Ovis aries: one gene and its partners. The protein of the gene in region 2 interacts with the protein of the main gene of each other region in a pairwise test. Links are inferred from orthologs where the notes say so. Each region holds a gene or a part of one and is shown on either strand. Other genes may lie near its edges.

The links. The genes of interacting proteins can lie anywhere in the genome.
Region 1: the proteins of PSMA1 (region 2) and LDOC1 interact in binary tests that used the Homo sapiens proteins (3 or more experiments, as listed by UniProt). The two-hybrid records come from large-scale screens. The link is inferred for Ovis aries from reciprocal best matches to the Homo sapiens genes PSMA1 and LDOC1.
Region 3: the proteins of PSMA1 (region 2) and TRIM10 interact in binary tests that used the Homo sapiens proteins (3 or more experiments, as listed by UniProt). The two-hybrid records come from large-scale screens. The link is inferred for Ovis aries from reciprocal best matches to the Homo sapiens genes PSMA1 and TRIM10.

Annotation. Positions count from the first base shown.
Region 1 is NC_056080.1:94,166,505-94,170,256, forward strand, and holds LDOC1 (protein LDOC1), read right to left. Parts: upstream 2,302-3,752; 5' UTR 2,220-2,301; coding exon 1,779-2,219; 3' UTR 922-1,778; downstream 1-921. UniProt on the Homo sapiens protein: May have an important role in the development and/or progression of some cancers.
Region 2 is NC_056068.1:37,961,825-37,966,653, reverse strand, and holds the start of PSMA1 (proteasome subunit alpha type-1), read right to left. Parts: upstream 3,126-4,829; 5' UTR 3,067-3,125; coding exon 3,064-3,066; intron 1,469-3,063; coding exon 1,424-1,468; intron 1,173-1,423; coding exon 1,071-1,172; intron 952-1,070; coding exon 848-951; intron 1-847. UniProt on the Homo sapiens protein: Component of the 20S core proteasome complex involved in the proteolytic degradation of most intracellular proteins. This complex plays numerous essential roles within the cell by associating with different regulatory particles.
Region 3 is NC_056073.1:27,844,346-27,849,142, forward strand, and holds the start of TRIM10 (tripartite motif-containing protein 10), read left to right. Parts: upstream 1-1,576; 5' UTR 1,577-2,052; coding exon 2,053-2,481; intron 2,482-4,280; coding exon 4,281-4,376; intron 4,377-4,797. UniProt on the Homo sapiens protein: E3 ligase that plays an essential role in the differentiation and survival of terminal erythroid cells. May directly bind to PTEN and promote its ubiquitination, resulting in its proteasomal degradation and activation of hypertrophic signaling.

The sequences.
Region 1 (3,752 bases), on a different chromosome or scaffold from region 2:
AAGACATTGGGGCAGATACAGATAAGAACTCAGAACAGCTCAAATCCTCCATGACAGGTCCTGGCTGGCATAGGCAGCCCCCACAAACCCCTGGACCAAGGTTCCCTGACTTAACACTGCAGCGACTTAACTGGGTAATTGCCCCACAAAGGTATGCAGTTTCTTCTCAACACTCACCCCACTACCTCAGTGCCTCTGAGCCTTCCAGGCCCACAGAGAGATCTCAGCATAGCTCAGACAGCAGTAGTACAAGATCTAGGTATCTTGTCAGTTTCTTCAGGCAGGAATCTGGGGCACATGGATGGGTGGGAATTCTAAGGGGATCTGCCTGAGGAAGATGAAATGTTCAAATCAGGCTCCATTTAGTATGCACACATTTATCCAGGATCTGGGATTTAATGTTAGCTCAAGCACCTAAAAGGGGTTTTAAAACAATGTGCTACACTATGTATTGAAGCCTAAAATCAATAGCACCCCACAGGCACTAAGAGTTAACAGGCAGAACATCTCTGACCATGTTGAGGAAGAACCCCAAAGTTCATGAAAATAGAAATATTGTGTGTCCTGACTTGTACTTGTTGTTCCAGTCTAATTATTAATAGTGTCCCCTTGAAGCTCTCTCAAAATTGTCCCAGTTTGGGATGGTGTGCCACCTGCCTGCTCAGCCACCCCTTACCCATGCCACCTCAGAAGCACCAGAGAACACTCCCTTCACCAGGGCTATAAGAAAGGCATCAGTGGGGGTAGTACCAGTTTCCCCATAAAGCCCTGTAGTAACTGTCCTCTGGAGTTTAGTCGTGACAGTGGGGAGTACAGAGATTGAAAGTTGAATGAGATTCCCTGATGCCAGTGGGAATAATGAGTCAGGGTGAAAGTGGCAAAGGCCAATGATAGCCCTTAACCATGAAAAGACACTTGCTGTTGTTGTTTTTTTTTTTTTTTTTTGGTAGTGCTTGAAATTTATTGAAAAGAATGCAAATGCTTTTTCCAGGTAGCATTGAGGAGCTGGGCTGAGTACTTGCTTTTGTTTGTATTGTTCGGTTTTTAGTATTTTTGTCCAAATGCACACCTCGATGGGACTGCTGCAATTTTGAAATGAAGATGACGGGTGTGCAAAACTGATGCATAGGAGAAATGTCAACAATTGGGTTGCCAGGCACAATGGGCCCCTGCAGCAATCTGGTGGGCCAGGAGGAAGACCTGGAGTTAGTAGGGAACAATTAATCAAGTTGAAAGATTAGCCCCTGGGGAGGGGGGTGGAGTTGTTGGTGAGCAGTCCAAATCAGTGTCCCAGGAGGTGTAGCCCACAAAGGCATCTTCTAGATTGTTCCTGATCTCCAAAGGCCGGGTCTATCGCTGGAATCTGGTGGAGGGTGCTTGGGTGGCAGCGCAGGTCGCTGGGCAGAGGTGCAGGCCTGACAGTCAGCAAGGCAGAGTATAGGCTGACCGGTTTGTAAGAGGGGCTTGCCCTAGAGCTGGGGCTCAGAACACAGTTCTAACGAGCAGTGAGGGTCCTGGGGCTGGCCAGAGTGGGCAGCAGAGTGCACTTCAGAGACGCCCCAGCCTCAGCAGCAGGTGACTAGAGAGCACTATGCCTGGAACAAAGACAAGCACTACGGCAGAGAGTGGAGGGTGAGGAAGACAACCAGAGGGGAGGGAAAGGCCAGGGGATCACAGCGTTAGGGGAGCGCGGTGGCTCCGGGCGGGGCGAGGCGGGGAGGCAGCGGGGGTGGCGGAGGGCAGTGCCCTTCCCCCTCTAGGCCCGAGGGTCTCCGGGCCTAATACTCATCTTCTTCATCTTCGTCTTCGTCTTCTTCGTCGTCATCCCAGCCAAAACACTGTTTCATCTCATCGAGGAAGGCCCGGTAATCGCCCAGGATGGGGCTATCCATCTCAATGTAGGGCACCACCCACTCCTCGGCTTCCCCGGTGAGCAGGCTGATCAGGAATGCCACCTTCATGGCGTCGTTGCAGAATCGGTTCTCGTTGACGAGCATGTAAGACGCCGTCTGCACGATAAACTCGGGGAGCCGGGAGCTCTCGCCGTCAAACGTTTCGGGGAAGGGCACAGGGCAGCTCGGCGGACGTACCTGGCGCAGCAGGGTGGCCCTCTCGCACACCAGCAGCCGAAGCTGTTCCATGAGCTGGCTGTTCTCGATGCTAAGGGCGCGGTGCCGCATCAGAAGCGCGTGCAGCAGCAGGACCAGCTCATCCACCATGGCGAACAGCTTGGAAAGGCAGGGCAGGGCGCAGCTCGATTCGGCTAGGCTAAGGTGCTCTCGGAGGCCTCGCAGGAAGTGCGTGTCAGAGGAGACGCGCGGTGGCTAGGAGCGAGGGGCGGTGCGCGCAGGGGTCCCGGCGGCGGCGCAAGCTCCGCCCACACAGCCGAGCTGACGGCCCCGCTCAGGCACCGCCCGGCTGGAGGGGGCGGGGCCGGGGAAGGCAAGGGGCGGGGCCGGGGAAGGCAAGGGGCGGGGCCGGGGAAGGCAAGGGGCGGGGCCGGGGTGGCCCGGACTAGGGCTCGGCGTCCGCGCTCGCAGGTCCGGGGGCCGCTGGATAAAGGCGAAGACCCAACCTTGGATGTGGGTCGGGCCGTAGCCTGGACCGTGCAAGCGCAAAAGACCCATCTCTCAGAGAGGTTCAACCTGCTCAGGTTTAAAGGACTCACCACCCTTCAGCCAAGCCGACTCATACATCTCGGTGTTCCTTGGAGGGCCAGTAGCCCCTGGGTTCCCTCTGAGTGGTTTTAACACATTTCTTGGCTTATGAAATCTCCCTCACCCAAAGAACCGTTAGCAGTGCTGGCTGCACGCCAGCGTCACACCCTGTAAGAGTTATGAAAGACCCTCAGGGGTCCTGTCTTTCATGACAAAGCGATATTTAAAAGGGATTTTTCTTTGGTTGGAAAATAGTATTGTGTACTTCTATCCCTTTGTTTAAAATTATTTTTGTAAATAGCAAAGTGTAAAAAGTTCTGCAAAATTTAGCATCCAATCACCATTTGCAGGAGTCCTGCCTATCTTTGACTCTATTTCTGTCCTAATGTTAGTGTCCCTTGACTACTGGGTATTTATCCCCTGCTTAACAATAAACACTTGTGTTTTAAAAATGGCTTTGCTTTTCTACTTTGAATGCGATTATTCAAATAGTTGACAAATGAGTTGGGGAGACAGCCTCTGGGCCACCACATTCTGTTGGAACACCTTTTAAAATATATTCCCAGTCGAATCACTTCTTGTTACTTCTACCAATACCACCCTGGTCCCAGCCCTCCTTTCTCACACAGGCTGTTGAAACTAACCACTTAACTTCCATTCTTCTCTTCCTATAGTGTATGTATTCCCCAGAGTAAGGACAGGACTCCTTTAGAACAAAAGTTAGATCACTTCCCCTCCCTGCTGTAAACCCTCCAATAGTTTTCCCTTATCAGTCAAAAGAAAAACCAAAGTCTTGGTAATGGCCTACCAGGCCCTACCTCATCTGCGCCTCCTCTCAGTTCCTGCTGTGCTCTAACCACATTGTTCTCTCTGCTGATTCTTGCACACAAGTAGCTCTGGCCCCAGGACCTTTGTACTTTCTATTTTTCCTGCCTTGGAAGGCTCTCTCCTCATTTGACTGCCTGACTCTTTCTCCCTCGGGTTTCAAAGAGGACTTTCCTAACCACTTCACCTATCAGAGCACCCCATTCTCTGCCAGTAATCTCTAACCCCTTGCCTCACTTCATTTCTCTGCACAGCATTTATCACACCAGT
Region 2 (4,829 bases):
ACTCACCAAATAACTTGAAAATTTTAAACATCAGCATTATTAACTGTCTTCGGTGTTTATATTCCTCCTTTCCTAATTAAATCACAGACGAGATTATTTGTGGCTAACTACCTCCTACTTACCAACACATACACTGAAAGATGCTGTATGAAGTGTTCTACATGTTAGGCTATTTGTCAATAACCTTGGAAAAAAAATACTAAAAAAATTCAGAGTTTGAGTAACTAGAGCAACATCAGATTGAGTGTTAAAAGTGGGAATTAAAGACTGTGTGATCCCAAAGCCCCAGCTCTTCATCTGCAATATGCCTCTCAACTGGAAATAATCTTTATCCCCCACCCCCTCCAAAGAAATATACCTGTTGCTCTCCACTTTCTACCTTGTATTGCAGATATTCTACTAGATTTTAAGCTCCTAGAAGATGAGATCTGTCTGATTCACCTTTGTATACTCTTTGTATCCAGTATTGAGCTTTGCAAAAAATAAATGTCAAATGAATACTGGTATATTAAAGACAGCAAAGGTGGTTCAGCTGATCCTTCAGAAACCTGGTGTCAAGCTCTTCCCAGATCTAACATCAAACTATATATACTGAGTTAACAAGTAATACATTATTCAATGACTTCTAAAAAGCATTAATGTTAATGTGGTTAATCCTATTAATTACTGCTACAGTGATCAAGAAATGGAATACTTAGTAACTGAGCCCAAATACATTAAGGTATTAATAATCTTAACTTATAAACACTCTAGCAGACAACTTCCTAAAATATCCGGATTGTTTCTAGATATGTAATCAATTATGAATCAAAAGGGATATTTCTTTTGTTTTCCAGGTCATACTCACCATAACAGTCGAGCATCAGCAGTAAGTCCCGCAATTGAGATACCAATATGGTTATCAACATGGAGAATTTTTTTCTGATGAGCCGCAAGTTCTGACTGTGCTCTCTAAATAGAAACATCATTTAAGACAAAAGAGTAAGTTTATAATTTTATTATTTATATAGTGAAACTAACATTTTACAGTGTTTTCTAAAGGAGGAAGATATATTTATTGCTTTACTTACCTTCAATGCAACCAACACTGCATGAGTTTTTGATTTCAGACCAACTGTGGCTGAACCTTGTTTGACAGCTTCCATTGCATATTCAATTTGATGAATTCTGCCCTAAAATGAAAAAAAAAAAAAAACCCAACACACCTTAGTCATTACAAGACCCTTTTATATATTTAACATAATTTAGCAATCCCAAATCTCAAGTGGGCATAGTTACATCTCAAATGCTGTTTCTTAAAACTAGAAGACTGACTTTAATGATAAACTTAGGTTTCAGGAACGTATAAAATGATTATATTCCATTTTCTCACTTCCTACAATCCCATAAGCTTCTAAACACATTGCAGTAACCAAAAGTTTACCTGAGGGCTCCAAACAGTGACATCATTGTCATACTGGTTGCGAAACTGAAAGTAAATGAAAAAAGACCTATTAACACAAGAACATTACAAATTCAAAATCTTCACAAGCTCTATCATTAAAAAATGTTCTCCCATCTCTCTCCATCCAGCATTAAGGAAAAGCTGCTATTGCAGTCTCATTGGAAGATTACTACTGTAATCAGCTGCAAGTCAATTTTACATTTATAAGGAGATGGGGGGGGGCGGATCTAAATGGTACATAGCTTCCCAATCAGTCTAGCAGTTCTAACACTGTTCATAGTACTTGGTTTGGGTTTAGTCAATTACTAAAGTTCCTATATGTCCACTTTCCTTTCTATCTTTGCTAATATTCTTCCCTTTTTTCAGACCCTAATAAATGGTCAAAAACATTACTACCTTTTCTTAAGTCAGCTCAAATGTCTATCTCTTGAAATCTTCTCCATCTTTTCTCCCCAAATCTCAAAACATATTCCCACCAGTTCTTTATCTACACTTACTTTTCTGCCTCATACTACGATTTGGGATATGTCTGATTTATCCTTGAACCTTCACTGCCCTTAAAACATTCATATTGAACGTGCCTTTCATTCATTCATACTGAATGAGAACACAAGAATGTCCCCAGGAAGTCATAAGTGGACACAAACTGCCATAAAAACAGACCCATTACAGCTTTAAAGACGGTATTAAGTCCACCAGCACAGTGCTTGGGAGACTAATCATGGGGGTGAGAAGGTTGAGCGCTGGAATGGCAGGCACTGGCCTGGAATCCCTGAGCTCTATACTATAACCCTGATTTCATCACTAATATCAGCTTCGGTTCACTCATTTGTCGGAGAAGGCAATGGCACCCCACTCCAGTACTCTTGCCTGGAAAATCCCATGGACGGAGGAGCCTGGCAGGCTGCGGTCCATGGGGTCGCTAAGAGTCGATACGACTGAGCGACTTCACTTTCACTTTTCACTTTCATGCATTGGAGAAGGAAATGGCAACCCACTCCAGTGTTCTTGCCTGGAGAATCCCAGGGACGGGGGAGCCTGGTGGGCTGCCGTCTATGGGGTCGCACAGAGTCGGACACGACTGAACCGACTTAGCAGCAGCAACAGCAGACAAAGTGATTGAAAAGGGCTTTTTCTGACAGAGCTCTAAGAAAAAGACTGCAGAGGGACCCGCCAAGAAAATGAACGCGGTCCAGGCAGCAACCCAAACCCTGGAATCAAGTCCGCACTTGGCAGTACAAGGAGGTCTGAAGTTAAGTCCCTATTTTTCCTTTCTGCCACACAGAGCACTAGGGCCCTCTCTGGACCGCTCGGAATTTACTCGACTGAAGGAATCTGAGGAGCGAAATCGGCTGGTAGACCGAGAAGATACTGTTCAAGACCCCGTGGAAAGCGAAACAAACCCCAGGGAAAGGTCGCAGCGGCAGCACAGACTACCGACCTCCACTCTCCCGGCCAGGCCGGAGATGCTGAATCACCGCCTGAACCATCCCGTCGGCAACGGTTCCTAAGTCCCATGGCCCCGGGCCGCTCTAAGGAAGGCATGAGAAGAAGCTCCCCCTACCCCCCAGCCAGCGGACCTCTTCCCCAACCCTGCCTAATCTCGGAATCCAACGCACCATGGTTCCGGCGCGAGCCTGGCTTCGGCCTCCTGCAAACCAGCGGATGGAACAGCACTGCCGAAACTTCCGCTCGGCGATCTACAGAGAAGACTGCGGACTTTGACGGCGGCGGCGCAGGGTAGAATAGTTTATTCCAGAGATATCGATAGGCTTCCCTTGCTTCCCCGCCCTCAAAGCTCTCAGGCGGCTCAGAAGTGGGAGGGGCCTGGGAAGCTAGAGGAACTGAGATTGGCTGGAAACCTTGGCCAGGAGTGCCCGCGGGAACTAGGAGCTGCTGGGCTGCCGCTACCAAGTACCCCTTCTTGGGTTCTTGGTGAAGTTACCTCCGTGTTGCTGACTCCTGTCAGTTTCTCACCGGCCTGACCGGATGCACCAGAGACTACAGGTGATCGAGTGTGTGGCTCAGTCTCCCCTTAAACGATATATGAGGTGTTGGGTAATATGAGAAGAACGATACTGAAAGAAAGGCCACAAATAATGGTCCGTTTTTGTGCCAACCATCCTCTCTCTCTATCTTGTCTGTGAACATGCTTTTCTTTCTACTTTGGAATCCTTTCTCCTACTCCTTGGAGAACTCATCTTTCAAGGATTTGTTATCATCAGTCTTTTTAACATTATTATTGGTTTTACCCCAAGAGACTTTGCTCTCTGAGGGCGCCAGTGTCTTTCTGTACCTTCAAAACCAAGCACGATGCTGAAAGATTAGGCAACTAAGGAAAAAGGTAGACATTTTCTTCCAAGACACATATTTTCTCTTTTGTGAGCAATTTTTAGTAAATCCTCGAATGAAATAGTTTAGGACAGTTGTGCAATCAGCTGCCAACCTAACATTTACCGACTGCCAACGATGAAGTGAAGTGAAGTCGCTCAGTCGTGTTCTACTCTTTGCGACCCCATGAACTATACAGTCCATGGGATTCTCTAGGCCAGAATACTGGAGTGGGTAGCCTTTCCCTTCTCCAGGGGATCGTTTCAACCCAGGGATCGAAACCAGGTCTCCTGCATTGCAGGCGGATTCTTTACCAACTGAACCACAAAGGATGGTATTTTCTTTATAAAAAAGAAAGGATGGATACCTAGAGTCATATAACGGAAGAGTTGAGAGGGTCCTTAAGTATCTAAGCTTTGCAGGTGAAGAAGAGACTCAGCTCACTTAAGTGATTTGCTCAAGTTCCCAGCAATTTAGTATCAGACTCTTTTTTTAAACCTTGTCTCATATATTTTGGACATTTCTTCATGTTAAACATTTTCTAGGTTAAACATGACTCCCTAGTATTATGCACTGGATATTTTATTTACCCAAATTCCTAGTCTTTAATATTTAGGTTACCCCTCTCCCAGGCAGCTTATTTATGACATATCTTTTGTATACACATCTGCACTCCTTTTTTTAGAATAAATTCCTGAAAATGGAATTGTAGGGTCAAATGAAATGGATATTTCTAAGGCTTTTATAAAAAGTACTAAATTGCTCTGGAGAAATGTTTTACCAAAATGTATTCTCAACCCTTGTCTATGAGTGATCCCTTTCTTAAATTCACCAATATTGCTTGTTGTCATTTTTCAAAATCACTGTAAATTTAGTAGATTAAAAATTTAGTAGATTAAAAAAAACAAATGTTTTTTTGTTTTCCCAGCACCTAGCATAATGCCTACTACATATTAAGAGCTTAATAAATAATGCTAAATGAGTGAATAATGAATGTTGAATGGATGCTTAAAATTATTATTTAGCACATAAAAATTTTGACAGTTCTTTTCTA
Region 3 (4,797 bases), on a different chromosome or scaffold from region 2:
CCGTCTCCAGGGTATCTTCACGACCCACGGATGGAACCCATGCCTTGGCAGGTGGATTCTTCACCACTGAGCCACCCTCGAAGCCCCTTCAAAGACTTTAGCGCCAAATAAGAAGAATGTAAAATGTCTCATGACTAATTTTTTCTACCAATTACACACATTGGTAATGTTTGGGGCTAAATATTAGTTTCCTGTCACCCTGCTTGTTTAATCCATATGCTGAGCACATCATGAGAACCGCTAGGCTGGATGAGTTACAAGCCGGAATCAAGACAGGCAGGAGAAACATCAACAACCTCAGATAGACAGATGACAGCACTCTAATGGCAGAAAGTGAAGGGGAGCTAAAGAGCCTCTTGATGAGGATGAAGGAGAAGAGTGGAAGAGCTGGCTTAAGACTAAATATTAAAAAAAGATCATGGCATCCGGCACCATTACTGCATGGCAGATGGAAAGGGAAAAGGTGGAAGTAGTGACAGATTTCCTCTCGGGCTCCAAAATCACTGTGGATGGTGACTGCAGCCTTGAAATCAGAAGATGACTGCTTCTTGGCAGGAACGTGATGACAAACCTGGTCAGTGTGTTGCAAAGCAGAGGCATTACTCTGCCGACAAAGGTCTGTATAGTCAAAGCTATAGTCTTTCCAGTGATCACGTACAGTTGTGAGAGTTGGACCGTAATAAAGGCAGAATGCCAAAGAATTGATGCCTTTGAACTGTGGTGCTGGGGAAGACTCCTTTAAGTCCCTTGGAGAGCAAGGAGATCAAACCAGCCAGTCTTAACGGAGATCAACCCTGAATATTCACTGAAAGAACTGATACTGAAGCTGAAGCTCTAGTATTTTAGTCATCTGATGTGAACAGGCGACTCATTAGAAAAGTCCCTAGTGCTGGGAAAGATGGAGGGCAGAAGGAAAAGAAGGCGCCAGAGGATGAGATGGCTGGATGGTATCACTGACGCAATGAACATGAACTTGAGCAAACTCCAGGAGACGGTGAGGGATAGGGAGGCCTGGCCTGCTGCAGTGATGGAACAACAACAACAATTAGTTTCACTTATAAAAAATATGGCTACTGGAACTTAAAATTGCACATGTGGCTCACATGGTATTTCTGTTGGAGAGCGTGACTCTGAAACTCACAAATCTCAGTGCAAATTATGGCCTCTCACCTCCCTACCTCTGTGCCTTGAGCAAGCTAAGTAACCTGGCTGAGCTCAGCTAATATCGTAACAGCGCTGACGTCACAGAGCAGCCTGGAGGAATAAATAAGATGGCATGTTTAAACTGCTTATGTCAGTATGAGGAATATGGCTATCGTAAATAAGCTCTGGCTGGTGTTATTTTTCTCTCTCCTCCCCCACACAGAGTACATTCCAACCCCTTGGGCAGCCGACGGCAGGCCGGTTGGAGCATCACTGGTGAAGTTGCTTGTGCCCTGATCCACCGCCCCCGCCCCGGGTACAACACCCTTATCTGGATCCCCACACTCCCCTGGGTTGGCTGATACCTTCAATCTCCCTGGAGACAGCTGGTCATACTGCAGGGAGGCTGGGTGGCATCACTGCTCTGTGACCCAGTCTCCCTCCTGCTCCCAAAAGAAGAACAGTCTCTTCCACCCATGGGTGGTTAAGATACTTTCCTTCTACCGCGAGGGTCTCTGGATGGACGGGACGAAGCAGCAACCTGCTGGTCATGGGCACCAGCTGAGACAGTAACTGAGGTCATCTCTGGGAGGCTGTCACCCCTTCTTCTCCTGCTCCTCTGCTGTTTCCATCTCTGCCACTGGAGGTGTGTGTCTGCTCCTCTGGGAGGGGGAAAGCAGAGCCCTGGCTGCAGGCATGCCAGTGGGCGCCTTGCTCTTGTGCGCAAGTCCAGGTGTGTATGTGTGTGACCATGAGGCTGGGTATGTAGGGTGCCCCTGTGTCTGGCCGTGTGTGCATGTGGGTGTGTGAGTGTGCGCTGTGCGTCCTCATTGTTCTCCCAGCCCTGCCCCAGAGCCGAGCAGAGAAGGTGACCTTGAAGAGGTCACAAGCAGCAGCAGCAGCAGCACCATGGCCTCAGCTGCTTCCGTGACCAGCCTGGCAGATGAGGTCAACTGCCCCGTCTGCCAAGGGACCCTCAGAGAACCGGTCACCATTGACTGTGGCCACAACTTCTGCCGCGTCTGCCTCATCCGCTACCTGGAGATCACCAGCCTGGACCCCGAGGAGCCCCCGACCTGCCCACTGTGCAAGGAGCCTTTCCGTCCAGGGAACTTCCGGCCCAACTGGCAGCTGGCCAACGTGGTGGAGAACATCGAGCGTCTCAAGCTGGTGTCCCAGATGGACTTAGACGAGGAGGACGTCTGCCCAGAGCACGGGGAGAAGGTCTACTTCTTCTGTGAGGACGACGAGATGCAGCTGTGCGTGGTGTGCCGGGAGGCCTGGGAGCACCGCGCCCACACCGTGCGCTTCCTGGAGGATGCAGCGGGGCCCTACCGGGTATGAAGGGGAAACTGAGAGCTTTCTGGGGGTGGGTCTCGGATGCGACTAGACTGAAAGAAGCAGAGCGGAGGGGTGGATGATTTGGGCCACTCTCTATTTTATCATCAGCCAGGCAATAGACCCAGGAATGCAAGATCGTGTGTTTGTGTTTTAAGTATGTCCTATATTGTTTCCTTACGGCCAACGCATAATAGTAGCTCAACAAACACACAGTGAGTGAATGAGTCACCAAAACACGAGCATGTGTGTCTGGCCCTGGATCAGTCAGGTGTGTCTGAGGATGCCTGGGTTTGCACTTGAGGAAGTGATTGCATAGTGTGTATTAGTATTAATGTTTGCACGTTTCCCAGTGGATGCAATGTGTTTGGGGGGATCTGACAATTTGAGTGTGTATGTGTAACTGAGTGCTCATGTTTGTGAGTAAATTAGTGTTTACGTATATGCAGGTTGGGTAGATACATATAGTGTGTAATTTTCTCTGTCATTAAATGAGCGTATGCTGGTTTTAGTTGTTTATGCATCTTGTTTTATTACAAGTAGGTGTCTGTGTATATGTGTCAGCTAGTTAATTAGCATGTATTGGAAGAGTTCTAAATATATTTTGCAGTGTACTTTGATGGGCATTAATATGTGTATAACTGTTTGTAACTCTTCTCTAGAGCAAGAAATTTTTTGTATGTTTGTTTTGGGAGGGTGTTTTGGCCACATCGTGTGGCCTGTGGGATCTTATTAATAGTTCACCAACCAGGGATCGAACCTGTGCCCCCTGCAGTGGAAGCACAAAGTCTTAACCACTGGACCACCAGGGAAGTCTGCAAGAGCAAGCAATTTTTAAAATAAGTCATTGATTTTTTTTTTTTTTTTTTGCATTATCCATGTTTCTTGTTCCCTCCAGATCATACTCAGAAAGTTGATTCCATTCATAACAGAGGTTGTTTGGAGGTGCTCCTTTTGGGAGATGTGAGAAAGTTAGGATAATTTCAAAGAAGGGCATATCAAATTCAGGACAGACCCTAGATACCATTTCTAAAGGCAAAAGAAATTAGAGTCTGTTTAGCCTGATGACAGGGCTTCCCCGGGGGCTCAGCAGTAAACAATCTGCCTGAATGCAGGAGACACAGGAGATGAAGGTTCGATCCCAGAGTTGGGAAGATCCCCTGGAGGAGGGCATGGCAACCTACTCCAGTATTCTTGCCTGGAGAATCCCATGTACTGAGGACCCTGGAGGGCTACAGTCCATAAATTTGCAGAGTCAGACAAGACTGAAGCGACTGAGCACATTTACACAACCTGATAGCAGGAAGGCTCAGGTGGGAACATGGAATCATAGCCTATCATGGTGCAGGTTAAAGGGGGAAAGCCCTGATCAAAATTCTTGGAGGGACAAACAAGAGGAAAAAGACCCAAAGAGAGTCAGCTGTTAAGGACAATAACAACCCAGGCTTTGTCAGCTGAGGCCCAACTCCTTCCATTGGGTCACTCTATTCCAGGAGACAGAGATGACACTTCTTCACAAATCATTGTTTCCATCTTAAATATTTTTTAAAAATTAATTGAAGTATAGTTGATTTACAGCTTTGTATTAGTTTCTAGTGTACAGCAAAGTGGTTCATAAATATTTTCAGGCTCTTCCATTATAATTTATTTCAAGGTATTGAATTTAGTTCCCTGTGCTGTACGGTAGGTCCTTGTTGTTTATCTGTTTTACATATGGTAGCTTGTATCTGCTAATCCCAAACTTCTCATTTATCCCTCCCCCACCTCCATCTTAGATATTTTATGCCCCTTCTTTCCAGGAACAAATACAGAAGTGTCTTGAATGTCTAAGAAAAGAGAGAGAGGAGATTCAAGAAATCCAGTCAAGGGAAAATCGAAGGATACAAGTCCTCCTGGTAGGTCATCATCCCTTCCTTAGCCCTCTTGCTTTCCTCTGGCTCCAGTGCCTATCTGAAATAAGGAAACATCGCATAAAGGGGCTTTGAAGTCCTTCTGAGTTTGAATCCTGAAACAAATTAGCTCTATGACCTCAAACAGCTCTCTATGCTCTGTTTATTTTCCTGTGAAGTGAAGATTAAAAATCGTCACTATCTCACTGAATTGCTGTAACGACTGTCCCTTAGTGACACGCACGTTGTTACACTTGGTAAACGGCAGGAAGTAAGGTTTCCTCACCCCCTCCTTACATCTCCTCCCGGAAATGGCAGGCCAGGTGGAAAGGAAACCACGCCGTGGTTCCAAGTCTGTCCAGGGACCTAGAGACTAGGGGACTCTGACTTTACCACCAAACCTTGGAAGATATGGATCTGGGCCAGG